4 separate regions of the Mus musculus genome follow, and regions 1, 2 and 4 are each reported to be linked to region 3. The links are microRNA targets in miRTarBase. Many come from high-throughput screens and were not tested one by one. Region 3 holds a microRNA gene; each other region holds the end of a gene's coding sequence.

What was found. Region 3 holds the annotated microRNA mmu-miR-34b-5p (AGGCAGUGUAAUUAGCUGAUUGU, at 3,015-3,037, shown strand). A microRNA usually pairs through its seed, bases 2 to 8, with sites in the 3' UTR of a target mRNA and lowers its output. Matches are read on the target gene's strand: a 7mer-m8 pairs with bases 2 to 8, a 7mer-A1 pairs with bases 2 to 7 and ends in A, and an 8mer does both.
Region 1: the mRNA of Rheb is a reported target of mmu-miR-34b-5p. Seed matches in the 3' UTR shown: 7mer-m8 at 1,512-1,518.
Region 2: miRTarBase lists Ppp2r2c as a target of mmu-miR-34b-5p. Seed matches in the 3' UTR shown: 7mer-m8 at 1,343-1,349 and 7mer-A1 at 2,099-2,105.
Region 4: miRTarBase lists Sgpp1 as a target of mmu-miR-34b-5p. Seed matches in the 3' UTR shown: 8mer at 5,312-5,319.

What each region holds. Positions count from the first base shown.
Region 1 is chr5:24,797,418-24,804,536 of GRCm38, reverse strand. Rheb (Ras homolog enriched in brain) reads left to right here. Exons shown (of 8, transcript NM_053075.3): 8 at 781-1,714. The coding sequence ends at 873. Among named protein-coding and RNA genes, the nearest start is that of Rheb, 41 kb to the left of the region's middle.
Region 2 is chr5:36,951,918-36,959,036 of GRCm38, forward strand. It overlaps Ppp2r2c (protein phosphatase 2, regulatory subunit B, gamma), which reads left to right. Exons shown (of 9, transcript NM_172994.3): 9 at 434-3,161. The coding sequence ends at 725. Among named protein-coding and RNA genes, the nearest start is that of Gm52813, 15 kb to the left of the region's middle.
Region 3 is chr9:51,099,528-51,106,646 of GRCm38, reverse strand. It overlaps Mir34b (microRNA 34b), which reads left to right and starts at 3,002; the gene lies at 3,002-3,085. Hoatz (HOATZ cilia and flagella associated protein) reads left to right here and starts at 4,569. Exons shown (of 6, transcript NM_177702.4): 1 at 4,569-4,902; 2 at 5,555-5,593; 3 at 6,577-6,647. The coding sequence starts at 4,677. Mir34c (microRNA 34c) reads left to right here and starts at 3,537; the gene lies at 3,537-3,613. It also overlaps a transcript of Btg4 not described here.
Region 4 is chr12:75,710,270-75,717,388 of GRCm38, forward strand. Sgpp1 (sphingosine-1-phosphate phosphatase 1) reads right to left here. Exons shown (of 3, transcript NM_030750.3): 3 at 3,979-6,395. The coding sequence ends at 5,844. It overlaps Gm40890 (a long non-coding RNA gene), which reads left to right. Exons shown (of 3, transcript XR_872828.2): 2 at 1-146; 3 at 1,331-1,771. Among named protein-coding and RNA genes, the nearest start is that of Gm40890, 12 kb to the left of the region's middle.

The DNA of each region.
Region 1 (7,119 bases), not on the chromosome of region 3:
AATAACTGTGTGGGACATGTAAAATAGATACTAGAGTGAGTTAACTTCTGATAATGAGGTGACCCGAGCCAGGTCCTGTCTCTTAAAAACAGTAGCTTTTAATTTCATAATCTATGAATGATCATAGTTCTTAGATTTAAAGGACAGAGGCTGACAGTTCTAATCACCCTTCAGAAAAAGATGTTTCTAAAGTTGCCAGAGGAGTTTGACCAAAGGACTAAGACCAGGGTGGCAGTCACTAGAGAAGAGGAGACCAAGCTTGGGAGGAGTGGAATTTACTAGGAACTTGGCCTGACGGGTTTGTAATTGGCGGCATGGTACACAGGAGGACTAACTGTGGGTGATGGAGGACTTGCAGCATCTGTAGAAGCAGCCCAGAGAAACAGAACATAGTCACACTGGAAATGTGGGAGCGCTAAGAGAAGAGTGGCTCTGTAGGAGCAGGAAGGGCAAAAAGAGTACCTCCCTGTTGGAGGCCTGGGGTACCAGAAGTCCTAGGAGAAAGGGAACCTTTTAGGAGCTGCAGAGGGTACAAGGAAGGCTGCATCTGGAGTAGAGCCAGACCCCAAGTATCCAGAGAGCATCATGGCTGAGTCAGGGCAGAGCAGAGTGGAAGCTAGTTGCTCTGACAAAGGCCATGTGGCTTATGGGGCTTCTAGGGGCCTCCCAGCCCCGACATGGCCCTGAAGAACAGATGGGTGCCTGCCCTCCTCAGTCTTGTTGGTCATGAACCAGAGTCTCTGACAATTAATCCTGTCACTGTTCTTAACTTCTCTTCAGACTGCTGTTGATGTTTTTAAAAGGATAATTTTGGAAGCAGAAAAGATTGATGGAGCAGCTTCACAAGGAAAGTCTTCGTGCTCGGTGATGTGACAATTCTGCTGCAGAGCCTGCGGACACTGGGGATATATTCCACCTGAGGAAGCAAACTGCCCGTCATCCTTGAAGATAAAACTATGCTTCTGTTTTCTTCTGTTAACCTGAAAGATGTCATTTGGGTCAGGGGTCCTCCCCTTTCAGATTATGTTAACGTCTGACTCTGTCCAAATGAGTTCACCTCCATTTTCAAATTTTAAACAATCATATTTTCAATTTATATATTGTATTTCTTAATATTATGACCAAGAATTTTATCGGCATTAATTTTTTCAGTGTAGTTTGTTGTTTAAAATAATGTAATCATCAAAATGATACACATGTTACACTACTATTAACTAGGCTTCAATATATCAGTGTTTATTTCATTGTGTTAAATGTATACTTGTAAATAAAATAGCTGCAAACCTTAAGCCTTTGAGCTACTTGGTGTGGTTTTTAAACCAGGAACCATGTTAGGATGGGGCATGGGCGTGCACATCGTTTGTTTTTGTTTTGTTTGCTTTTTCGAGACAGGGTTTCTCTATGTAACAGCACTGGCTGTCCTGGAACCCACTCTGTAGACCAGGCTGTCCTCGAACTCGAGATTTGCCTGCCTCTGCCTCCCAAGTGCTGGGATTAAAGGCGTGCACCACCACTGCCTGGCTGTACAGTGTTCCCTGGTTCTATTAACCCCGGCTCTTTTACCTCACTTGGCCCCAACACCTCCCTCTTACATTTTCACATTCTCTCCTGCATCCAGTTATTGCCTCCTGTTGGCATGTTAGTTCATCTGGTCTCTATCTTCCGTGTTAACTGCAGTGGCCATGTCATGCCTAGTAAACAGTATTTTACTGCACTCCCATCCTCCATCTCCTTTGTTCTTTCTGCTCCCTTTCCCACAGTATTTCCTGAGCCTTTGCAGGGAAGACGAGCTTGCTTTGTAAATGAAGCCCCTTCCCAGTTAAAGTTTCACAGAACCATCTCTAATACCAAGCAAATGCTACAGCCCACGTAATGAAGTGCATATCCTTTAAAGGGTGGTGACCAGGCCTGTGGCCTCTGCCCAAGAATTGAGAGGTGATAAATTCCTTCCTCTTCATCTACCATCGTGGCAGTAAATATTGTCACAAATGAGCATGAGCGATCTTGCAAGGACTGGGGAGGTGACTCAGTTGGGAAAGAAAGTGTGTGTGCAAACGTGAGGACCTAAGATCAGAGTCCCAGTATTTACTAAAGCCCTTACTGGGGAGGTGAGACAGGCTTCCTGGAGCTTGCTGTCACCACTCTAGCTGAACTGGACAGCTCGAGATAGTGTGTCATAAAAGATAATGTTTATCTTAGCATATGAAAGTCATCTTAGCTTCACTGAGCTACAGGAGGCACAAGTGTAAAACTAGGGTTATGTTTACAAGTATTTTACAGCTCAAACTTGAATCTCAAAGTACAAGTAAAATCACATTTCAAGGGCTGGAGAGATGGCTCAGCGGTTAAGAACACTGGCTGTTCTTCCAAAGGTCCTGAGTTCAAATCCCAGCAACCACATGGTGGCTCACAGCAATCAGTAACTGCATCTGAATATGGCTACAGTGTACTTAGATATAATAAATAAATCTTTAGACTGGAGTGTGCAGAGGTCCTGAGTTCAGATTCCCAGCAACCACATGATGGCTCACAACTATCAGTACAGCTACAGTGTACTTATACACATAAAATAATTAAAATCACATTACAAGGTAAGATTTACATGGAATTTTGCTAAAGCAGCCATCTGCTCTGCTCTCCCCAGTCTGTTTCTTCATCAGCTACCTCCCTCCGTAGGCTCTCCTAAACATTGTTAATAGCCCCCAGGCGCCTCTGTTTTCTGCTGTCTTTCCAGCCACATGGCCCACACCTGGCTGCTATGTTTGAGTCCTAGGGTTTCCTGGTGTCTTCAGTGACTTGGTGAAACTAAGCGTGACTGTTTTGTTAAGCCTCTCACTGGGCCTTTCTTCTGCCTTCACTTTATGTGTTCATGGCTTTAACTGCCTTTGAGGCAGGAGGATCAGATCTGAGGTGGAGGAGGTAGAGGGAGAAGAAAGGAATTTTAAAAACGAATATACAAACTCTGCTGCCTGGTGAGTTTTCTGTCCCCATCTTATCCTTATCGCTTTATCTACTTGGATTTTCTCATGGGTGTTTCTAGTGTGTTGTTGTTTCCTTTTTTGGAGGGGTGTCTTGCCATGCAACCCAGGCTGGTTTCAAACTCAGTCAGTGTACCACAGTGGGTACAGCGGGTGTCTGTCGTCATACCCAGCACTCCCAACATATAATTACTGATTTTACTCAAAAGTGTGGCCTGCCTCTAGGATTTCAGCTTATCTGCAGGTACTTGTCTAGCACGTCTTCCAACCTCTGTCCCCTGCTCTCCCACACAGCCCACCTGTGTCCCCCTTCTCTGTTACATCCAATCCAGATCTGGGAGACTCGGGCCTGGAGCCTGTGTCTGCCTTTCCCTCAGCCTTCAGTGTCACCTCTTCTAGGGGCTTCCACATGGACCTGAAGCGACCTTGGTATGCTAAGCCCTGGTGCTTCATCCAGAACAGCAGATGTCAGCTGATCATCGTCAGGGTCCCCGGGTCCTCCCCAAATGTCACACTTGGAGCTGTGAAACAGACACTTCATTGAACTACTTCAAGTTCCTATGATTTTTTTTTTCCTGCTTACCCTGAGAATTTACAACATCTTAATTCTTAACACTCCTACTCAGAAATGCAAGTTGATTTCAGCAGCTAATGAAAGCAAGCAGGTGTGTGTCTGTGTGTGCTCCATGCACTTGCCTTGTTTCTGCTGCTACTGCCATGAAATGACACTTCGATATGCTGAGTGCCTTACCAGACTTGTAACTGCTTATTACAAATAGGAGAGATGAAAGCCTCATGTAGTAACACACACCTTTAGTCCCAGCTCTCAGGAGGCAGAGATAGACAGCCCTGAGTTCAAGGCCAGCCTTGTCATTAGAGTGAGTCCAGGACAGCCAGGGCTACACAGAGAAACCCTGTCTCAGATAAGAACAAGACTAAAACCATGTGAATGGGACAGAGCTCCCTCTGCAGGAGGCCTAGGTTCAGGCCCAGCCCTGAAAAGGGAAGGGAAGGGGCCCCAGTGGTCATATTTTTACATGTTTTTTCAGTTTTATTTTAACTATGTGTCTAAGTATGTGCATGTGTGTGGTAACCCCTGGAGGCCAGAAGCATTGGAGATAGTTACAGGTCTGAGTGCTGGGAATCAAACATGTGTCCTTTGCAAAAGCAATACATGCGTTTAACTTCTGAGCCATCTCTCCAGCCCCCTTTTACCTCTGTCTCACACCTTTACAGATCCCTTGATTCTTTGTGTAGATTAGTTTTTGTCTTTGTGTCAGCCTATAAGGTATTTTACATTTCCTATAGATAAAATATAATAATAGATTATAACGCATTATCTATTATCTCTGTAACATATTAACAGACAATAGAGATAATATTTCCTCTGGTGTTCTCGCAAGCTTTTGTTCATATGGAGAATTTTCACTTCTCGAGGGTCGTCTTGTTCGCTCACAGACTGGAGTCCTGCTGGCAGCATTGGGCTAGCCTTAATGCTGTGCACATAGCTGGAGACTAGCTCATTTCAGAGTTCTAGGAAGGTTACCTTCTTGCCAGCCTTCCCCATGGGTACTGAGGCCAGTCATGGCCAAGAGCAGCCCACCTGTGGGATGTATACACTCCTCTCTGGCCTGCCTCCTTCCACCTGCTGAGGCAGGTGCACACCTGCCGTTTGTCCTCAGTGCCTTCAGTCCCTCTCCTGTGGCAAGTGGAGCTTTCTTCACCCTTGGTGCCCAGTGCCATGTGTGATGCAGACTCAGAATGCAGCCCTGGTGATCTGGAATTGTGCAAGGACTCAGAATATGCTGCTTCTCATCTTTTTTTTTTTTTTTAAGATTTATTTATTTCATGTATGTGAGTACACTGTTGCTGTCTTCAGACATATCAGAAGAGGGTATCGGATTCCCATTACAGATGGTTGTGAGCCACCATGTGGTTGCTGGGAATTGAACTCAGGACCTCTGAAAGAGCAGTCAATGCTCTTAACTGCTGAGCCATCTCCCCAGCCCACTGCTTCTAATCTTTTGGGGGAGGGGGCGGGGGGTTGGTTTTGGGGGGTTTTATGGGTTTTTTGTTTTGTTTTGTTTTGTTTCGAGACAGGGCTTCTCTGTGTAGCCCTGGCTTTCCTGAAACTCGCTCATGTAGACCAGGCTGTCCTCAAACTCAGAAATCCACCTGCCTCTGCCTCCCAAGTGCTGAGCTTAAAGGCGTGGGCCACCACGCCCGGCTTAAATAACTTTTTTTTTTTAATCTGCAAGCTTGGATGTTTCCAGGGCCTTTGACAAACACATCCATAGTCCATAGGTGACTGTTGATGGCCACCTGAGTGCTCATCGGGACTCAGTCCTCACTACTTGGTGAAGCTTCCTGCTTCCCTGACAGCCACCAGCCTGGTGGGTGGCCTCAGCCTTCCTTCAGCAGTGTGAGCTAGCCCCCAAGTTCCACATCCTTCCAAGCAGGGTGGACTCACAGATGGCCTCTCCACACAAGCTTACAAAGGCTGAGAACAATTCTTCATACCAGTTTGACCTGTGGTATCAGCAACACTGGACTCTGCTGCCACGGTGACAGAAATGCAAGTCTGCCGCTATTCCTTCATCAGGAGAGCCGCTGCTCAGTGTGCCGGGTCACTAGCTGGGCCTTCAGAGCTTGGCGCCCAACTGCTATTGCAGTACAGTAGGATCTGTCCCAGCCCACAGCCAGGGAATCGGTGGTAATACAACCTTGGTTCGTCATCAGAGGAATAGATGCCGAAAGTCTCATGGCCACTCTCGCAGGTTTGATTGGTTTATCAAAAGGCTGGCCTGGAGCCCAGCTCCGATTCAGCCTCCTACCTAGCTGGGAGGGTGTCAGCACACACACTGATCCTGCTGTGTTTTGTGTAATTTTTTATTACATTTGTATTTACTTTATGTATGTGGAAGTCAGAGGACAACTCTCCAGAGGCAGAACTCCTCTCCACTGCGAGGCTTCTGGGAATCAAACCCTGGTCATCAAGTCATTGGCTCTCTCACAACAGACTGTATAGATTTCAAATACTGTGGTCTCAGTAATTGAGACTTTTACACAGTTCTTCCTGCGCAGGGCCAACCTGTTCCCAGCAGGGAACTGTACTGCACCGAGGCTCCGGGCTACTTGGGATCTGTCTTTTTATCCCTAGTGTCTATGGACTGGCAGAGCCAGGTAAGTCAGCAGCCTTTTAATGCCAGTGAGGCAAGCATCCTGGGCTTCATCCTAAAAGGAGAAGCAGCCTGGTGTGGAAGCCAGAACAGCTGAAAGCCTGCCTTTCCATGCTGATGTCCCCATCTCCTTGGCTGTGAAGGAGCCTACCTGGCACGACTTTCTCTGCATCTGTAACTGTGGTGCAAAAAGCGCTCAAGTGATGCTCAGAGCCGTCCTGGCCTCTTGCCTCCCTGGAGCACCTGGTGTGAAGCCAGGAAGGAAAGAGCAGCCTGGGCTGGCTGTAGCCAGCTGCTGCCAGCTGTGCAGTCTGCTTCCCCTTGCTTCCCCTTCTGTGAAACGTAGCCCCGTCTGAGCGAGCCCAGGTGGTCTCAGCTGTCTCTTGAGCTGAAATGTTCACCTGTGGAAACTAAAAGTCCTCCATTTTTACGAGAATTTTTTTCTCTCTCTCTTTAAATTTCAAAGGGGGTTCCTTTGAGTTATTCTTGACACATGGCTTCTCTTGCCCATCTGCTTCAAGTCAGGCAGGGTGGTGTGTACTCTGCCTCCACATGTCTCCATGTCTCTGAACTCCTGCACATGTGTCCTCTACAAATACCACAGAAAGCACTGGATCACCTCCAATAGAGGAGATAAACACATTTTGTGCCCCTTCCTTCAGCTAACAAACTTGAAGCACTGAACCTCAAAAAAGTAAAGGTTTTAGATAGTAGAGGCACATGCCTTTCCGTGCCAGCACTTGGGAGGCAGAGGCAAAGCAAATCTGTGAGCTCAAGACTATGGTCTATGATTTCGAGTTTCAGGCCAAACAATGATGTCCTGTCTCAAAAAGCAAGTTAGAAAAAAAAAAATATTCCAGGAATCCATCCAGGGGCAAGGGAAAAGCTAAGACCTGGGTGCAGCCAGAAAAGGAGCTTGCCTCCCAATAAAAGATGTGACATCATTCCAACAACCTATGTAT
Region 2 (7,119 bases), not on the chromosome of region 3:
TAAATTTACACACACACACACACACACAAGTATACGCACATAAATATACACACAAGTGTTCTATGCTCTACACATTCAAGACTGGTGTAGGCTTGCTTACCTTCTTCTTCACCCACTAAAACGGTGTGAATATCCCCTCCTCTGTGGCAGTCAGCCTCTTTCTCCTCCTCTCCCCATAGCTTTTTCAGCCTTCCTTAGAACAACCCCAGATACCTCCTTTAGGCCCAGGCCTGCTTCCTGAAGGTATCATGGTAATAGCCTGCTCCATGCCTTACTAGACAAAGCCCCTGGTTAGGAGAGGAGCAGAGAGTATGGGGCAGAAGTCTGTCTCCAGGGTCCCCTTGCCTGCTGTGGCATTTGCCTCACCCCATAGCTCTGGGGTGTCCTTGTCCCCTCTCTCCTCCTACACTGACTCCTCTCCTTCTCTCTCCAGTGTCATCATGACAGGGGCCTACAACAACTTCTTCCGCATGTTCGACCGTAACACCAAGAGGGACGTGACACTGGAAGCCTCGCGGGAGAGCAGCAAACCCAGAGCGGTGCTCAAGCCAAGGCGCGTGTGTGTGGGTGGCAAGCGGCGGCGTGACGACATCAGTGTGGACAGCTTGGACTTCACCAAGAAGATCCTGCACACGGCCTGGCACCCAGCTGAGAATATCATTGCCATTGCAGCCACCAACAACCTGTACATCTTCCAGGATAAGGTCAACTCTGACATGCACTAGCTGGCCTCAGTGGCCCTCCCGGCCACCTCTGTAAGAGGACAGGATGAGTGTGGTGGCCATTTGTGGGGACATGAGTCCCAAGGCTGGAGTTGGCTTGGATGGTAATTGCCAGTTTAAACAAAGGAAAGGGGGAAGCCCCAGTTACAGGCGGATAAAGCAGATGTGCCCGGTCCAGGGCTCCTTTGTTTACGGCCCTCCTGTCTCTGGCTGGGCCTTTCATTATTATCAGGACTTTATTCATGTCCAGGGTGGGTCAGTTCCTATCAGGGAAAGTCAAGCTGGTCCATGATGGGGCTCCAGAGAAAGTTCATAGGGCAGTCAGGATCTGCAGATCCTCAAGGGAGCCAGCCAGCCATGTGCGCTGGCTCAGAGCTGCTGCTTCATGTTGGATTTTGGACAGAATTCTCACTGAGTGCTGGTTGTGGCAGCTTGTCACTTGGGTGTTTGGAATGTCTTTCGGTATTCTAGGTGCCAGGCCTGGGCAGGTTCTGAGAAGCAGAGCCAAAGTCGTAGGGTTAATCGTGAGGCAGGGCCGGGTCCCTCGGGTGGGTTTTTCCAGGCTAAGGCAAGTCCTGAGAAGCAGGACTGGGGACCCTGTGTGGCTGTGGCCCTCACCTCACTGCCGTCCGTTTGTGAGCCCACTGCACGCTGGACATGGTGCTCAGCCCATGGTGGCTGTGGCTGGATCCCCGCAGCCCACTTTGTGATGGCTTTGCTGTCACCCTTCCATGCTAGCCAGTCATCTTCCCCATGGCCGACAGCCGGTCCTGTCCCTGACTGTAGAATCCTCATGCCCACGAGACAGGTGTCCGCTCATTTCCATAACTCCCAGCTGAGATCCAGGCTCTGCTGGAGCTGGGGTTAGTAACCGTCCCCTCTGAATACAGGAGGGAACCAAGGCTCTGAGCAGAGAAGTGGGGTGCCTAGGGAGTCATACCCCGAGGGCTGAGCTGGTGTCCCATTTCCAACCCGCCACACACGGGTGACTGGTTTTCAAGCAGCATTCCAAGGGAAGGTTTTAGAAGGGAAACATTTCCACGCCAGGCATTCAGTGCAGGCGAGCTGGTGACAAGATGTCACAAGAGAGAGAAGATGGAGAAGAGTGGCATCCTTGCTTGCCTCTCAAGATGCACGTCACCGACACTGTACCTGCAGCTTTCTCCTCACCCTTCCGGCTGCTCCCCAAGGAGGTTGCATGCAGCCAGGCAGCCCCAGAGGACGTTTTCTCAGACCTCCTCAGGGCCACAGGTGAGTGGCCATTCATTTCATAGTGACCCCTACTCCATCCTCATTCCTGAAATCCCAGAACTGCAGGGCTTGGCGTTTTGACCCTGGAAGCAGAGAGCAGAGGGGCTTTGGTTTTTACAACATGGACTGCCACCCAGGAAACAGATGTGATGGAGTTTTTTTTCTCTCTCTCTCTCTCTCAGTGGATCAAGGTATCCTTGTGTGTGTCAAAGCACAAACCGCATGCACACTCACTTCTGGCCATGTATTTACACAGAAACTGGGTCCATTACATTTTTTGGCTTTTTTTTTCCTAAGTCAACGTGAATGAAGAATGTTTATCACTGTAAAATTCAGGCGCTCTGGACAGTATTATATGTACATATTGACCCTGATTCAAGCTAGCAATTAAAAGATCGGCGACTTTCCCCTCTTGTAAAGAAGTTGAAGAATGTGGCCAGTCGTATTTAATCCCATTGAAGCCAAAATCCTGGTGAGAGGGCCTTACACACTGGCCTGGATCTCTGGCACACCCATCTGCCTTTGCGGTTTGGCGTTAGAGAAGATTCGCCTTGGAGGCTGGAGGCTGCTATGAGGTCATAGGTTTCACACATAATGTCTTCAAAGTCAAATCTTACACGGTCTTCAAAAGGAGGGGTCTTGCACATGGCCCTAGTTTCCAGACTTCTGTTTGAAATGTCGGGTATCAAAGTAGAAAGGAAAAAGAGAGACAGAAAAAGATCTCAGAAGAAAAAAAAATAAGTCTTTGGGACCCGAAGAAATCACCCAGGTTCAGAGCGGACTGCTAATAATAATGTGTGTATTGATCGAGGAAAAAGTGCGGAGGGGGGAGGGGCGGTGTGAAAAATGGCAGAAGGACCAGAGCCTTGCAAGCCACAGACTTTGCCACTTTACTCTGCTTAAGTTCTCTGGTCTTGAGTACGTGGCATTTCCCATAATCATTACGACATTGTTGGGGTTTTGAGTTTGTTTTCTTCTGCTTTGATTCTTCTCTGAGGGTGACGCCCTTGGAGGGTGTTGGGTATCTACGTGCTGGTAACATAGTCAGGCCCAGTCACTTGGGGTTCTGTGGCTCATAGGTGCATTCTTTTTTTTCTTCGGTGTCTCACAAATTATCCAACTGTTGAATAAAATTATAAATATGTTAATACCAGCTTTTTCCAATAAAATAACAAATGTTACATCTAAGATGAGGCTCGCAAGGCTGCTGATTAGTGAATTGACCAGGGTGGGGAGCAGCCTCGGGGAGCCAGTGGGGTGGGCAGGGCAGGGAGCAGCTCCCATCAAGATTGGGCTGTGTCTGGCTGTGTCTTCGACTCCAACCCTAACCCAGATGAAGGAGGAAATAGAGTCAGTGGGGACACCAAGCTTGGCATCTGCCTGGAGGAGGGGGTCCCCAGATGGTACCTGCAGAGCCCACTGCCTGGCACTTGTTTCATGATGGGTGGCCTGTCTCCCTTTGCAGCAGGTGTGTTTAACTCACCACAAACCCAGGTAAGGACACTAAGGCTCACACACAAGCATCCACAGAGTATCCTAGTTTAATGCGCTATCTGGGGGCAGCCTCCACTCTAGTGCCCCCTGGTGGGCTCACCCTGCAGAGGCTGCAAGTTCTTAGAATGGGTGGAAGGCAGCCACTGAATTGTGAGCAAGTCAGGGCTTCCCTCCCCGCTGTATTCCCTGTGGCCCAGACCTCTCCGAGGGCTTTTATTGTAAGGAGGGAGGCAGAGGTGGATAAATGGCCACAGCTGCCATTTATCTACAGCCTCCAGGGCAGCATCAGAATGAAAAGGCCACTTCCTGGCTGTGTGTCTTTTGGCTAACCTCTGACCCACATGTGTAAACCGAGCTTGTCTCCTCAGGACCTCTGAGTGACTAATAAGATAAAAATTTGTTTGTGGGACCTTTCTGCTGCTGAGCAGGCTGTGATACAGGATTGGCTGGCCTGGGCTCCATCGGATGCTTTTCATAGAGTGTAGACTGAGTACTGTCACTACACCCATTTTATATATGGAAACATTGAGGCTCAGAGGTAACTAAGGATCATGTCTGAATTGCTACAACTAGTAGATATTGGGTCAGGATTCAAATCATCACGGCCAAAGTGATGTGGATGCTCAGGTTAGCATCCGATACTGTCACCTCAGCCCACCACGCCTCTCTTCAGCTACAGAGCTGGAGCTCCATTGCTGGGAGTTAGTGGCTGTTCCCATGGTCTTTGAGGTAAAGGGATTGTCTCGGGGGGGGGTCCCACCAGGTCTCCTGAGCCCCCTATAATAGGGGTCTCTCTTGACTGTATTAGGAATGTGACATCAGGAAAACTTTCAGAGAGGCATGGCAGGGAGATGGGACAGCCATGGTTGGCGGTAGACATGGAGGATAAGCCATGGCCACACTAGAAGGCCTCTAGTCTCATTGGCCTGGGGCTTGCCTACTCTGGTAGCTAGCGAGTGAGCCCTAAGGATACTCTTGTCTCCTCTCTGATCCCAAGATGTTAAGCATGTGCCACCATGGCTGGCTTTTTTCTATGGGTTCCAGGAATCTAACTTGGCTGCTCACATTTGCCCAGCAAGCATTATTAAGCTATGCCACTGCTGGGGTCTCCAAAGGACCAACCTTGACCTTTCCCACCAAGGGCCACGATGGGCTTAAGGTCTCCTGACTCTACAGAGCTGAGTATGTGCTCTCCACAAACACTGGGTCCCAGGCCAGCGCACTGGTACCTTCCCTCAGGACATCTAAGGCCATTCTCACCTTCCTTCATAGACAGGATGCTCAGGGAGGCCCCAGGGCTTGCCCGAGTTGCATGGCACAGAGTAGGCAGCAAGAGTGGGGACTAGATCCACCCCGACCACACCCAGACCTTCCTGAAGGGAAAGAGTTTGGCACTCTCCTGAGGGGCTTGGTGTCCAGAGGTGGGAGGAGCGGATCCCAGGGCCAGAACTTGAACAGCAGAGGGGTATCTGGCCAGACCTGCCACAACACTGCACCCTGGGCAACATTGTACCCAGAGCCCCTCAGCTGCCATCTGCCCTTTGAAAACAAACTGGGGTGTTAATCTCTCCATAGTCCTGCGGGCTCTGGGTGATCCCTGCACCTGCCAGCCCTGTCACTCGGTGTTATTTGTAAGGACAGAGACTCCTCTAGGTCTGGGGAGATGGATCTGTCAGTAATGCTAGCTGCATAAGCATGAAGACGTAGAACCCAAGGAAAAAAATTCGATCATGGTGGTACATGCTTGTAAACCTGGCATCAGGGAGGAGACACGATCCCTCGGCCTCACAGGCCAAGCCCCAGGCCAATGAGAAGGCCCCGTCTCAAAAAACAAGGTGACAGCTCTGCAGTATCCAAGATCCTCCATGTGCACAGACACACCCGTGTACACACAAAACACACTGTGAATATGTGAAGTGGAAACTTAAGGGTTCGTTGGAAAGTTGGTTGTGTCGGATGGTGTTTGGCTAAGGCAAACACGTGAAGGAATGATCCATCGACGCAGATACAGTTGAAAGGCTCAGGCAGACTTGTGAAGGAACGTTTCTGCTAAAGCAAGCGTGTGAAAGGACACGAGATGAAGGATTCTTTGCTAACAAGACGCATATGTCAATCTGCCTTACATTGTGGAGTTGAGCTCCATTTGTGGGGATTCCATGGAGAGAAATGCACACACACACACACAAAAGTCTGGTGTGCTGCAGTTTCTTGTCGCTTCAACAGACTCAGGCTGATTGGCAGAGTGATGTCAGCTGAGACAGACGCATGTACTGAGGCACGACGTGTGCTCCAGGCAAGACCTGTGGAGGACTCGTGATGTTTGGAGGGAGTGTAAATAGGACACAAGGGACAGTGAAGGAGGCCGAGCTTGACTTGCTTGCATAGCTAAATGCCCCTTGGTCTCATGTCTTCACTGAGTCTGCATCAGTCTTTCACCTCTGTCCGCTTCAATGAAGCGTTCCTTCACCTGTTTGCCTGAGAAAAACACCATCCAACACAACAAACTTTCCAAAGAACCCTTGAGTTTCCACTCTAAGTGTGGATGACTGTGGGCCACATGAAGTACTAAGAGCTGTGTGCACATCTCAATCACAATGCCATCCTATAGGTGCCAGAGGCTACTCACTGCATTACTGGTGCCAGGGGCAGCCTCCAGAGCCCCTGGCGAGAATGCCCATCCTGTGCAGCTGCCCCAACAGCGTGGGGCCTGCAGGTGTTGAGCTGGTGAACATTTTTAGCTACCATCCAAATGTTTGCCCTGCCTAGAGCTATGTAGTAGTGCCCACTGATGGAGGCCCTAAGAGCCTGGCTACTCTATGATCCTTGTTTCTTCTCAGAGTGAACTCACTGTTAGTCCTCACATTGCAAAAGTGAAGGACTTAAGGCTCAGAGAGGTCTAGGGACCGCCCATGGCTGCACAGTAAAGGCAGAGGCCAGACTGGAACCTGGCTCTCTGACACCTTTGCAGGTACATGTTTAAGAGCTGCTATGGGCATAGGAGAAGTGCTCCTCCTGTCCCTAGAACCTTGTTCTTCATGCTCTGATATGTGCCAGACACAGGATGATGCTCAGACAGCACAAATCAAAGGGAGGGTTCCCATTTCTCTAGGCATCTGCCGGTTTCCCTCATCAGTACACTGCTAAAGATTGGGGCACCCTAGCTGCAACCACTCTGATGAAAACCACTATTGCTAAAACCAGGCCTAAGCTTAATAGAGCACCTAGACAGGGAAGGCCAGTTACATCTGTCCCCAACAGATAAAGCCCAGACCTCTCCTCTGTCCCCACCAAGAGGGTGTAAGACCAGGGTTAGGCTGTGTGAGGACCACACAGGCAACAGCTTCCACATCTCTATACCATGGCTTAGCCTCAGGATGTCTGGAAATTGCCGAGTCCTGGCAGGCAGGAATATTGCTTCTTCAAACTTCATTAAACAAACAGCTAGGAGTGATGGAAACATGTAGAAAACAAAATTTTATTCAGAACAAAGAGCATGTCTTCAGTGTATTGACAGCTATGGGGTCAGAGCATGTAGGCTCCCAGGCTTCGTCTTCCTTCTTCTTTAGATTTTTTTAGGTGCATGGGTGGTTTGTTGGCCTGTATGCTGTACACTGTTGTATGCAGTACCCATGGAGGCCAGAAGAGGGCGGTC
Region 3 (7,119 bases):
CAGATTCATTGATTTGTAATTATTCAAGGGCTAAATTGACTTCAACTCAGCCTTGCTTCAACTTATAAACTAGTTCCTAAGCATACTATCGTGAATATTAATATGGTCATCTGACATTTGATAGTCTGCATAAAAAAATGCATGGTTTTATTTCCTAGGAAAGTATGCATTTTTGAAATGTTTTAAAAGAAGTGGCTAAAGATCATTGCTTTCTAATTAGTGTCCTTCATTCTTTCCTCCCTAACAAGAACCTTCAAATGCTGCAGAAATAGCCTGCAACTGGGAGGTTGTATCAAGAAGAACAAGAGCTCAAGGCCAGCCTGAGCTAATTGAGTCCCTATCTAAAAACAAAGAGGACGTGTACAGACGATGTGCTGTGTGTACTGACAGGAGGAAGTCATCTCTCGATGGCCCTTTTACAGGAGTCATAAATTAAGTCAAGATAAATTTGTCAGATTCACGCAGGAAGTTCTTGTTTTTGATACTTTTCATGGTTTCCTTCCGGTCAATACTATCAACCCATCTCCTCAAAGGTCCTACCCCATCTCCCAGATCAACAAAAACCCAGAAATTAAAGCAGTAAACAGCTCCTCCTCAAGGTGCCTTCCTGGATCTATCTAACCAAATGTAATGGTCTGCTTGGGCATTTTAACCACACCACAGGCATTCTTACTTAGATTAAAACATGAGTCTCCCTGGTCTCTAGACATGCCTAGGCATGACCAGCAGATGCAATAAGATCCTTGGAGTTTCTCTAGTAACTGTGGGCAGGATCAACAGCAACCCTAAGAACAGACATTCTTTTCTATTGTTGCTTTCTAACAGAACTAGGGCACACGCATTTTTTTTTCATCATTTTACTTTTTATCATTGAAGAAAAAAATTTAGTCTAAATTTCAAGACAGTTTATGCAATGATAGCTTTGGATGGAAGCAATAAAACTCAGGTAAGATATTTAAGATGCTACTAATAGAGAAAATCCCTAAGCTGGGTGGAAGCATGACACATGGAGTGAAATTGAGCAAAATGCAAAATAAATGATTTTTTAATGATGTCCTCCTAAAACTTGTAACTCTTCATAGTGTTTATGGGATGGAGGCTATTTCTACTACTTTTATTTATATTTGAACGTTTAAATGACCTTTTGTAGGATACATTATACTTTTCTCAAATACAAGAAGACTGAATACAAGATAGTTATTTACAAATGTCTTTCATAAGTTAATTTTATAATAATCTGGCATTTTCTACTTCATTTTCCTTTCACTTAAGCCTTCATAAAACAATGACTCTGAAGGAAAAAAACATTGTCTTTTACTTTCAAAGATAATGTTAAAATATACACAAGTTTATTCTTGGGAAGTTCTTGGGTTTTAATGGTTTCCACTTGGAATTTGTGTTGAATGTTCCTGATGATTGGCATATATTCATGTAATTAGTGGCATCTACAAGACCATTTGCTGGGCTTACAGGTATCAGTGTATAGCTAAGAAATGTCCCTTTGTAGACTGCAAGACTGTTGGATCAATACAAATGGGTGTCATACAGCATACAGGAAGACCACAGTCTGGGACGGCTACTTCCTACTGAATTCCACAAAGTTTGCAATCAGAGAATACTGTATATCCTCTCTGGGCTCAATTAATTAAAGGAAAGGAGAGGAAAGACTAAAGGAAAGAAATATTAGTGAAGATGGCGCAGAAATGCTGTCCCCTCAGCGCCTCCTATTCCCAATATACACAAACACGCACCCCGTTATCAGATATAAAATAGCAAAAACAAGGGGAATGTAACTGACAGAAGATATGGCTTCTCGGGCTTCTACAGACCTCATCCTTAATGTCCAAATCTACCCTTGCTTCAAGGATCTACCTGAACTCTCACCTCCTCCATGATGGTGTCTGTCAGCTCTTGTTGGCACACCTCCCACCCCCACCCATACCTGTTTTTTTCTATTAGGAAAATCTATCAGTTTAGCAACTTTATACTGTCTGGAGTAATAAATAATGTGTTCACATTTTGTTACCACCTAGACTGTCTGATGGGTAGTAAGACAAACGCCTGTTAGGTGCTGGATTTGTAACATTTAAATAAAACAGGAGCCCAAAGTGAGACTAGATATCCTCAAGGCTCACGGGGAGATCATCAAAACTGTGTCTTTGATCTTATAAGGGCCACAACTTTGACCTACCAACAAGGGTGTTGGTTCAATGTTTGACCAGAAGAGTGGCCCACACTTCACTGTATGGCCCTGTAAGAGGTAGTCCTAAGAAAGAACTTGGGTACAGGCAAGGGCAATCCTGCAGGTATGAGTGCCCAGGCCTGCTCAGGCAGGAAGGCTCCAGATGAGACGCCTGGGAAGCGGTTTCTGAGAATGGGCATATGAACAGTGAGGAGGCCTGGGGCTTCTTGGGCAATATATTGGGAAGGAGAGATGGATGTAGGTCTCTGCGCTTCTTTCTTCGATGTAGCAGTAACTACACTGTGAAGATAAACTTCTCAAGAATCTGTCTCTCCATCTCCCCGGCCCCTTCCCAGGAGGCTCTGCAGGAGCCCTCCCATTGCCCCTTCTGGTAGCTTCTGCCACCCCTCCCCCACTCGCCCCGCCCCCTCGGCCTCGGGGTTCCAAGGGCGGTTGGTCGCTGAGCCACGGTCACTCGGCCAGTAGGAGCTGCGGGGCGCGCGGGCTGGACAGAACCGGCTCTAGACTTGGGTCTGGAAGCCGTGAAGAAGTTGTTGGAGGCGGGTCAGACCCGGCTTGCGGGAAGAAGGACTCGGGCCGGATGCCCTGGGGTCCGGGCTGAGTCGGGGGTCTCGGGGGGGACGGCGGGGACAGGGGGCCTCAGCGCCTGGGGGTTCACCTGGGGTCGCGCGCGGCCCTGCTGGGTGTGGAGGGGCCTCGGGAGCCTGAGGCACCTCTCGCTCCGCCGCCCTCGCCTGTCGACCGTGGCGAAAGGGGGCGAGGGGCCCGACCCTCGGGAGCTGCAGTGGCGGGCGCCCGGTGCTCGGTTTGTAGGCAGTGTAATTAGCTGATTGTAGTGCGGTGCTGACAATCACTAACTCCACTGCCATCAAAACAAGGCACAGCATCACCCGCCGCCCGCGGGAGGAGAAGCCAGCGCTGCAGCCCCACTGACTCCGCAGAAAGCCGAGGCCGGAGCCAGGATGCGTCAGCAAAGGGCCGGGAGCACGAGGTCTAAGTGCAAGTAACCCTCGGAGACCGGCGGCCTCCTTTAGGGACCGTTCGGCTACCTGTGTGTAAGAGCCAGAGCAAAAACGGTTCAGTGATGTGTAAAGAGAATCGGTATACACCGGCCTTAACATAAAAAAAAAAAAAAAAAAAAAGGCCAGGAAGAGCCCCCCCCCCCCCCCCCCCAGAACAGTTCCTGCTGCTGCTGTGATTCACTGCCTGATTTCCACTTCTGAGAAAGCTATCACCAAGGCAGCGACTAGAGTCAACCACAGCTTGGCTGACGATTTGCTCTGGTCACACCAAAGTCTGAGAGCACCAGCTAAAGACTGCATGCTTTTTTCTGAGTCTAGTTACTAGGCAGTGTAGTTAGCTGATTGCTAATAGTACCAATCACTAACCACACAGCCAGGTAAAAAGACTGAAATTCCTCCGACTGAGCCTCCTGTGAATCGTCATTTTGGTGAGGACAGAGCCATAGGGAAATATTCTTACCATACTATTAGTGGTTTGGGGGGGGGGGGGGAACCGCTAGCCCTTAGCTGCTAAGTATACAATGTATCAATTTGTGTGGGGTACATTTTTTGTGATTTTTAGATATATTGGAAAAATAGAAATTATCCCTTAGCTGATTTGGTCATTATATTGACTTGTGATTATAAATCTTTGGACTTTGCCTGACATATTAATAACACTCTAAAAAATAAAGCGCCACGAAAATCTCAGCAATCGTGTTCATTTCCTTTCCAAAAACTGGCTTTAGGATCTCCATTTCAGCTCCTGTCAACCCCGTAAAGTCATTAAATGGTTAGTTGCTATACAGACAAAATCTCCAGGGAAACGTCTCACACATGATTGTGACCTGGAAGGGAACGTTAAATGTTTTCATAATTTTCCATGGGGCAAGGGAACTCAGCCCACTTAACCAGGTATATTTTTTAAGGTATTAACAGTTGCGTTCTAGGCAACTTTTCGTGGGAATAATTAGTGAACACGATTTAAAACCAGCTGGTTTCCTAATATCTGTAATAAAAGATTTGAGAGGTTTTAAATCACACAAGCTGTATCCACCGGTACTTCTCGGCCCAGTTCTAGATTAGCGCTTTATGCAGATGTATCAATGCAAACCTGAGAATTTCCCCAGAGGTAAGAGTGCGAAGCCTTGGCAATCTTGTCCAAAAGAGGAAGGCGCTCTTTAAAGCTCACATTATTGGGCTATCTGGGGGAGGAGGAGACGCTGGCTGAGGATCTAAGAGACAGTCCAGGACTGTACACATCACAAAGTTGAGGCTTTTACTCTTAAGGCTTGACTGGCCCCGAAAATTGTGACCTCGACAGAAGCCAGCTGCTGATGGGCCACAAGCCCTCGAGGAACCCCAGATCTACGGAAGAAGAAACACAGGCATTCCGGTGGTGGCAGTTACCAACAGGACGGTTCTCCGGTAGGGGCGGGACGCCAGAGCTAAGGAAAGCGTCCTGAGTCACCATGGAAACGGGGCCCAGAGGCTGTCCTAGCGGCAGGAAGGAATCCCAGGAAATCTGCTCCCCTGGATTACTGGTGTTCACCGGCTGCTCTGAGCAGGATGCCAATTTGGCTAAGCAGTTTTGGCTCGGGGCGTCCATGTACCCCACTACCGAATCTCAGCTCGTGCTGACCCGAGGCAGCAGTCAGAGGCTACCGGTGGCGCGGAACTCTAAAGTCGTTCTGAGAGGTGAGTAGCAAGGCTACCTCCTGGAAGGGGAAACTGCCTGGTCTAATTGTCAGTCAATTGAGAAGTACAAACAAGCAGAAACAGGCAGTAATAGGTATATGCAAATACACAAACAATTCTAAAACTGCTGCAATTCTCCACTGTAAAGGATCTCATTGTTACATATAAATTCATTCTAGAGCTGGAGAAATGGCTCAGCAGTTAAGAGCACTGACTGCTTTCCAGAGGTCCTGAGTTCAATTCCCAGCAACCACATGGTGGCTCACAACCGTCTGTAATGGGACCTGATGCCCTCTTCTGGTGTGTCTGAAGACAGCTACAGTGTACTCACATAAATAAAATGAAAATCTTAAAAAAAAAAAAAAATTCTAAGAGTCCCTTAAATGATGGCTTTTATTTGGCAAAGAGGATGGGTTAATCTAAGGAAATGGTGCTTAGATTAGGAAAGCATTTACATAAAATTGAATTCAAATTTAAAAGCCCAAGAAAAAGTTGTTGGCAGAGTCTAATTTAGGAACCCTGTTTCCTGACTGACAAGCCTTCGGGCCAAGGATGTATAAAGTGTTCTTATTCAATATTAATAGGTATATGAAATTAAAATACTGTTCATGTCAGCTTTTCCAATAACTTTCTCTTCATTTGTATTTCTTAGAGAAAAGTTCTGTCCAGCCCTTTCCCTTTGATCAGGACAGTAAGTATCAAGTTTTAATGCCTTTTTATATGTAGACTCCCCAGATTATCTTAGAATTCCTAGAAGTATACATTTACACTGTGATATAACTAAGCTGCATATCCCACACCTTGCTTCAGGGCTCACATACTCACCCAGAAGATAACTTTCTGACTCTACAGGCACTTTCTCCCCAGCATCCCTGACCCCACAGGCACTTTCTCTCCAGCATCCCTGGTCCCACAGGCACTTTCTCCCCAGCATCCCTGACCCCACAGGCACTTTCTCTCCAGCATCCCTGGTCCCACAGGCACTTTCTCCCCAGCATCCCTGGTCCCACAGGCACTTTCTCTCCAGCATCCCTGACCCCTCAGGGACTTTCTCCCCAGCATCCCTGGTCCCACAGACACTTTCTCCCCAGCATCCCTGACCCCACAGGCACTTTCTCTCCAGCATCCCTGACCCCACAGGCACTTTCTCCCCAGCATCCCTGATCCCACAGGCACTTTTTCTCCAGCATCCCTGGTCCCACAGGCACTTTCTCTCCAGCATCCCTGATCCCACAGGCACTTTCTCTCCAGCATCCCTGGTCCCACAGGCACTTTCTCCCCAGCATCCCTGACCCCACAGGCACTTTCTCTCCAGCATCCCTGAACCCACAGGCACTTTTTCTCCAGCATCCCAGGTCCCACAGGCACTTTCTCTCCAGCATCCCTGACCCCACAGGCACTTTCTCCCCAGCATTCCTGGTCCCACAGGCACTTTCTCTTTAGAGGCTGTTTCTTATCTCCACTTATGATTTACTCATCATGTAAAGGTATGGGAGGGTTCCTGACATCATGAATAATTAATGCAGTCTTCAGTTATTTACCAATCATTATAATGTCAAGACAGTATGTATTTGTGTCCCTTCCTACTCTATTCTCCCATATCCAATTTCATGTCAAAACTGTAAGAATTATGACAAAGTTGTGTCAGATTAAATTTGGTTTTATTTTCTCTAGAGGATGCAATTATCTTTGCTAAAGCCCAAAGGATTCAGGAATCTGAAGAGAGAGCAAAGTATCTCCAAAAGGTGAGCCAGCGCTTCATCTCTCCTGGTTCACCTCTCTGGTTCTCATTACCTTTCTCCATCATTGATAAATACTGTTTGTTGTTGTTGAGGACATTTTATTTTTAAATGCATGTAAATAAAATGTGCTACTTCTGCTACCTAAGCTTTGAAAAGCTTTTTTTGTTAGAATTTTAATTAAGCAGTTAGAAATTCTTGGAGCTGGACAGGTAGTTCAATTTTTAAGAGTGCTTGTTCTCGGAGGATTCAAGTTTGGTTCCCAGTGCCCATAAAAAATGGCTCATTACTGCCTGTAACTCTAATTTTAGAGGTTCTAATACTTTTTTCTAGCCTCTGTGGGCATGAGGGACACACACACACACACACACACACACACACACACACACACACACACACATCTTTTAAAAGTCAGGCTAGTAGCACAGATTTTATTCCCAGCCAGTAGAAAAGTAGAGGCAAGAGAATCAAAAGTTAA
Region 4 (7,119 bases), not on the chromosome of region 3:
TAAAGGCGACATGGACATGCCTGGTACCTGCAAGAGTCAGAGGAGGGCCTTGGACACCCCGGACTGGAGTTTACAGAGGGTTACAAGTCAGCATGTGGGTGCTGGGAACAGGCCTTCAGTTTGACTCCCAGTGCTGCATCGCTAAGGTGTGATGGTGTAGAAAGGGCCATCTATAACCCCACCATAGCAGAGACAAAACGGAGAAGTTCAAGGTTATCTGCAGTTACATAGGGAGTAAAAAGCCAACCTGGGCTGGAAATCCTTTCTCAACTAAGTCAATTAATAGCAGAGTGATTAAACTGATACAGTGTCGTTTTGTCAAACACCTAGAAAAATTTGTAACTGCTTTATGCCAGCAAACATAAAATCAGATTTAAGAGATAAAAGGTATGTTCAAAGAAAGACTGGCCCAGTATATGATGATACGTCTGTTTCTGGGTGGTGCACGGATGTTCATGTTCACGTGTGTCCAAATGTGGGGTGTGTACATGTGGAAGGGAGGGGTCATTCACCGTGTTTTCTGAGACTGGGTCTCTCATTGCCTTGGAGCTAGTCAAGTAGGACAGGGCAGCCAACCTTCAAGTCACTGGGATCTGCTTGTCCCTGCCTTCTCACTGATGTATTTACACATTTGTGTCACAATATGCAACTTTAATATGGATTCTGGGGATCCAACTTAGGCAAGTCCTTGTGCTTTCAATGAAAGCAATTTCTTTCAATCAAGCTATTTCTCTAGCTCAAAACATACACCTATTTTGTAGTTATTGCAACGGGCTGTTTTAGAGCTAAAGAGACAGCTCAGTGGGGGAAAACAAAAACAAAAAAGAAAGAGTACCTACTTGGCAAGCATGAAGACCTAAATTTGAATTTCCAGCACCTACATAAAAAGCTAAGTATAGCTGCCCATGCCTGCAACTCCAGCATTGTGGGTAGAGATTGAGAGGATGCTGAGAGCTCATGGACCAGCTAGCCTAACTAAACCATGAGCTTCTGGTTCGGTGAGAGACCCCCGTCTCGAGGCAGGAAGGCAGGGAGTCTCCAGAAGTCCGAATGAACCAGATGTGTGGCTGGTTTTTATGTCAATGCCTGCAAGAAGTCCTGTGGTCTTTTAAGTGTAGCATCCTAGCCAGACAGTGGTGGTTCATGCCTTTAATCCCAGCACTTGGGAGGCAGAAGCAGGTGGATTTCTGAGTTCAAGGCCAGTCTGGTCTACAGAGTGAGTTCCAGGACAGTCAGGGCTATACAGAGAAACCCTGTCTCGAAAAACAAACAAACAAACAAACAAAAAAGTGTAAAATCCTAAAAAATAAACTTTTAACTTCCTTCCTAGGGCACACCTGCAAATCCCAGAGGAATCCTTCTTTGCAGAGCACAAGGACTTTCAGAGCTGGTTGCAAAGTTCTTTAACCCTGTGACTGCAATTCCCCACCCTGTCTGGGTAGGGCTGTGGGTGTGGTGCTGAGTTGCTACCTGACCCTCTAGGACCATTTAGAAGATGGTGGAGTCTGAGTTCCCCCCACTCTGCTGGGCTCCTTTCCCAAATAACTGCAGTCCTAGCAGCTATAGTATGCCACCAAAACCCAAGATGAATACAAAAAATTATCTTAGTTAATAATACTTGACATGTGTATTTTCTCTTATCATGGATTAAAAGAACAGAACAGAAAAAGAAAATTTTGAATGTCTAGCAAATAATAGTTCTCATTGCCTTCAAATTATAGCTAAGCTAATTTGACTGAGTACTTTCTAATCAATATTCATGTGATTAGAATTGCCAGTGTGATGGCGCGTCCCCTGCTTATAATCCCAGACCTTTGGAGAGGCAGACTTCAAGATCAGCCTGAACTAAATAGTGTGAGTTCCAGGCCAGCCTGGGCTACAGGGGACCATGTGTCTATGGATAAACAAACAAGGATATTACACATGGTTATCTGCTAATACTCTAAAGGTTTTATAAGCTGCTCTAAGATCCCAAATATCCTTAAAATATTTCATTACTCTATAACTGCACAACACCTCAAGAAAGTGAAAATAATTTTTAGGAAATTACCTTTATTTCCAGAACTCAGGAGGCAGAGGCAGGAGAATCTCTGAGTTCCAGGCCAGCCTGGTATACAGGAAAGCCAGGACTACACAAAGAAAGCCTTTCTTGAAAAACAAAACAAGACAAAAACAAACAAAAAACCTCCAACAAAACAAAGAATAAAATGCTAAAAACCAATTTTAAACTTCCTTCAAATCTTTGAGAAGCTGCAGAATGCTACAAATGTTCCCCACTAACACGTGCACACTTGCATGTTTGAACACAAATGCACTTACTGAAGCGTATCTAAGGACTGCATAATCAATCAATTGAACACAATATAGCCATTGAATGTCTGTTGTATCCCAGAGATGGCAGAAATACATGAAAGAGTACCTCCCCCCTCCCCCCATAGAGGTGATATCATAGGGAAGATAATGAATTATTTATTTTTGGTTCATTTTTAAGCATTAGGATGGAATCCCAGGGCCTTATGCATCCAAGCAAAAGGTCTGCCACTGACCTTGTACCCAGCCCTATCTTTTGTTTTTCTGAGATGGGTTTTATGGAGCCCAAGGCTGGCTTCCCACTTGTTATGTATTCGAGAACTCAAATTCCAAAAAAAGCTGGGCGTGGTGGTGCACGCCTTTAATCCCAGCACTCGGGAGGCAGAGGCAGGTGGATTTCTGAGTTCGAGGCCAGCCTGGTTTACAGAGTGAGTTCCAGGACAGCCAGGGCTAAAGAGAGAAACCCTATCTCAAAAAAACAAAACAAAAAAGAACTCAAGTTCCTCTTTCTCTCGCCTCCACTTCCTGGTGGCTGGGATTACAGGCAAGATAATCACAATTATCTAAGAAATATACTAAATTTTAGAAGTAATTAATAAATTTTGTCTAGAAAGATGACTCAGTAGCTAAGAGCACTTGCTGTTTTAGCAGAAGACTCAAGTTCAATTCCCAGAACCTCCATAGCAGCTCCCACGCACCTATAACGCCAGTAGGACCCTGATACCTTCTGGCCTCCATAGGCACTAGGCACACAGAAATGCACAGACAAACCACCGATACATGTTTTTTAAAAAAGAGCAAAGGCTGGCCATGGTGGTACGTGCCTTAAATTCTAGCACTCAGAATGCAGGGACAGGCAGTGAGCTCTGTGAGGTCAGGCCAGCCTGGTCAGGGCTGAGAGACCTTGTCTCAAAGTAAACAAATAAAATGTCAAAGCTATACAAGACTTAAAATCCTTTTCTTAAAGAAAACTGTAGAGGTTCCTTAAGAAACAATCAGATTTGCTCTCGCGTGTCCCTGGCTGCAAGCAGGAGTCAGCTTCCTAAACATCTGTGCAAAACGCAGCAAGACTGAAATGGTGAGGGACATAGCTATGGTTCTTCAGGCTGTTGGGTGTGTAAGCCACGGAACCACGAAGCTCTGCGTAAGGCAGCTCACACTCATAGGACACGTGATGCTGATGCTGGACGCAGAATTCTAGATCTGGAGGAGGCAGGGGAAGGCCAACTGAAGATGAACTATGGGATGAATGTTTACTTTCTCAAACGACTTTTGGACATCTCGTATTTCTCTTTGGATTTTCCCTCTGCTTGTTTCCACATGAGAGCTGTAGAGTCCCAGCAGGCTTCATAGCAGAGCAAAGTCAGGAGCTGGGGCGTAGCCTGAGGTTCCAGTGCTTGGAAAGGAGAGAAAGGAGCAGGAGCTCGAGGCCAGCCTGCGATACAGGAGACCCTGCCTCAAAATGGAATGAATCATACATTTAAGAATTTGTTCAGTGTACCTCAAGGTGGTGGTGCACTCAAGAGGGAGAGGCAGGCTGAACTCTGTGAGTTCGTGGCCAGCCTGGATTATAGATTGAGCTCCAGGACAGCCAGGGCTACACAGAAACTGTCTCAAACACCCCCCTCCCCACCCACACCCCAAAAAACCAGACATGTGAACAACAGGCAAAAAGAAGAAAGATCTTTTCGGTATTGATCTCGGCTTTTATTTTAAAATACATTTAGCATAGAACTGTCATCAAACAAAAACAAACACAGAGAAATAGAATCTTTTCTAATTCTTTTTAAGTGACACACAAAAATTAATAGCATAACAGACCCAAAGTGGGGGACCCTGTCTATAGCTCAACTCACAGAGCACATCTGTGGAGCAATCCCTGCTCTCCGCAGCTTCTGAGCTCCCTGCGTACCGATTCTTTTCTAAGCACCTCGCTTTCTTCTCCTGGTGGCCAAAGGGTCCAAATTTACTTGCTTAAAGTTGATCAGATTCTTTGTGGGTAAAAACTACCAAGCCCCCAAGCTTTCAATGAGAATTATAAAAAATAAGAAGCTCAGATACTTTCCTTGTCCAAAATAGAAACGTTTTCCTTCTAAATAATCAGAGATTATTGCACTAAAATCATTACCTCCACCTGGTGTTCATTTGTATGGAAAATTAATTCTCTTCTTTACAAAAAACCTCACCACAAATAAACGTAATGTTAACCTAATTGCAATCACACTTCAAAATATAAAGGCACAGACAGGAAAGAATAGCTTAACACTACACTCAAATTTACCACTGTAAAAATAATTAGTTGGGAAAAATAATAGAATCTTAGCTACGGATATTTCACGTTTGGATTTTATAATCTACCTTAGATTGCTAAAGAGTGGGGTATTAAAAGATAACGGTAGGAAATCCAATCCTTTTCAAATAATTTAGAAAAATGGCTTGTGTACATAGGAAGGGTATACACTGTCTCATCTATAAATTTCAGTGATGTTTCCACTCCCTGGAAGTATTTATTTGTACTATACACAATCAAGACAACGTACTTACATATATATACTGTTCCAATAACTTGCAATGCACAGAAAAATACTTACAAAAATGGAAATACTTATCCATTTAGCTTTCCAATAAATTAGTGAGAAAACTTAGCAATTCCACATTTCTTTCTAAAAAACGACTGAAGAGTTATGGGCCATTTACTTCTGTTAGTTTGATATATATATTTTAAAAATATTTGCCTGATGATGTGGCTTATGATAGAATTAGAGTGTCACTTTTATATCACAGTATACATGGTGTCTCTTAATTCAGGAAAAGAAAGGCACAGTTAGCAAGCAATAAAATTCAGTACCTGAATTGGTGTGACCAAAACAGTTGGGAAAAAAAATACATTCAACACAGTGTACAGAACTTTAAGAATGGAAAAAAAAATCTCAAACAGCAAACTTCCCCCAAAACTTGGTCCATTAGAAATGCCTCTCGTTCATGGGTAAATGAAGGGAGCTGGCAGTGTGGGGAGAGACAGTAAGTCAAGTGTGCGGTAGCACACAGATTTCTGTCTGCTAATTACCAACTCAACTAGGAAATGGCTCCCAGAGGAAAGAAACACTAAGCCTATTTGTTAATAACAACATGCCTGCATTAATTCCAAAAACCTGGGCACAACTGCATATTGTTACTGATTTTTTTCAATACACCCCACTGTTGTTAGGTAAACAGTTGTATATATAATATATACTAGACACACCTTTGCACACCGTGTGCCTTAATATATGGTATATATAACTACAATTTGTAACAGCACAGAACTCCCCAAACATTTGGTGAACATTCTAAATGGGCGCGCCATTTCTCAGCACTGAGAGAGCTCAGCCCACGTAAAACAACATCTGGTGTGCAATGAGAGAATGCACTGGCTGCAGAATTTACTTCTTTAAGTCAAATTCTTGCAGAAGCCTCTGATCCAAGTTTTACCTAGAGAATAGCTTTAGATATAGCTGGTAGCCTCCTTTCTTATAACAAACAGTGTTCCTCCATCAAGAGATACCAATAAAGGAAAATACATAGGGGACCAAAAACGTGATGGAGAACCCAACCATCCCGTAGGTAATATACCGGTATGGCAGCTCCACTTCCATGTGCTGCCTTGCTTGGCGAATGTCATGACACGGAATACTGGAGAGTTTACAGGCTAGAGGAATGGTGATCTTCTTCATGATATCCCTCACGAACAGTACAAGCAGCATTCCTAGGACGATCCGTAATATGGCTTTTCCAAACAGAGTTACAGTAAGAGGGGGGATAGCTAAGGGTAACATGTGCAGAGAAGGTTCTAAGGATAGGCCCAGGGTATAAGCAGCGTGTGAGCCACATGCAATCCCAGCACCACTTCCCAGAATCTCAGCCGTGTCTCCTCGGGATGTGCTCCAGGTGTCAAGGGTGAAAGAGAAGATGCCCAAAATTAAGTGAAGCCCGATGATGATGAGCGGCGCATATTTGTAAGTTTGGTTGAAGTTGTCAATCAGGTCCACCAATGGGTAGAAGATAATTAAGATTAAAATGGTATACAAGAATCCAGCAATGACATCCTAGAAAAGATAAAAGTACAGTTAGTATCGTGCTCTTTTAACTTTAAGCCTTACAAACCAACCATACCGATGTACTGGAACTTGGGCTGGGGCGGAAGCCTGGTAGGTAGGGTGTTTGCCTAGCATGCATGAAGCCTGGATTTGATTCCCGCACTGCAAAAATGAGGCATATTGTTGCACACTTATAATCCCACCAGTGGGGAAGTAGAGGCAGGAAAATTAGAGGTTCCAGGGTTACACAAAACACTGTCTAAACAAAACAAAACAAAATGTTAAAAAATATATATTGCGGGGGGGGGGGGTGTGGGGGGGAGCTGGAGAGATGGCTCAGTGTCCGAAAGTTCTGAGTTCATTTCCCAGCAACCACATGGTGGCTCAGAACCATCTGTAATGAGATCTGACTGACACCCTCTTCTGCTGTGTCTGAAGACAGCTACAGTGTACTCACACATATAATAAGTAAATAAATCTTTGGGCTGGAGCGAGCAAAGGTCCTGAGCTCAATTCCCAGCAAGAACTTGATGGTTCACAACCATCTGTATAGCTACAGTGTACTCATATACATAAAATAACTAGATCAATCAAAAAATATATTGTACCAAAACTTGTTTTAATGATAAAAAGGATTCTGTTTGTTTGTTTGTTTGGCTTTTTGAAATAAGGCTTCGCTGTGTAGCCCTGGCTGTCCTGGAACTCACTCTGTAGACCAGAGTCTCTGGTCTCA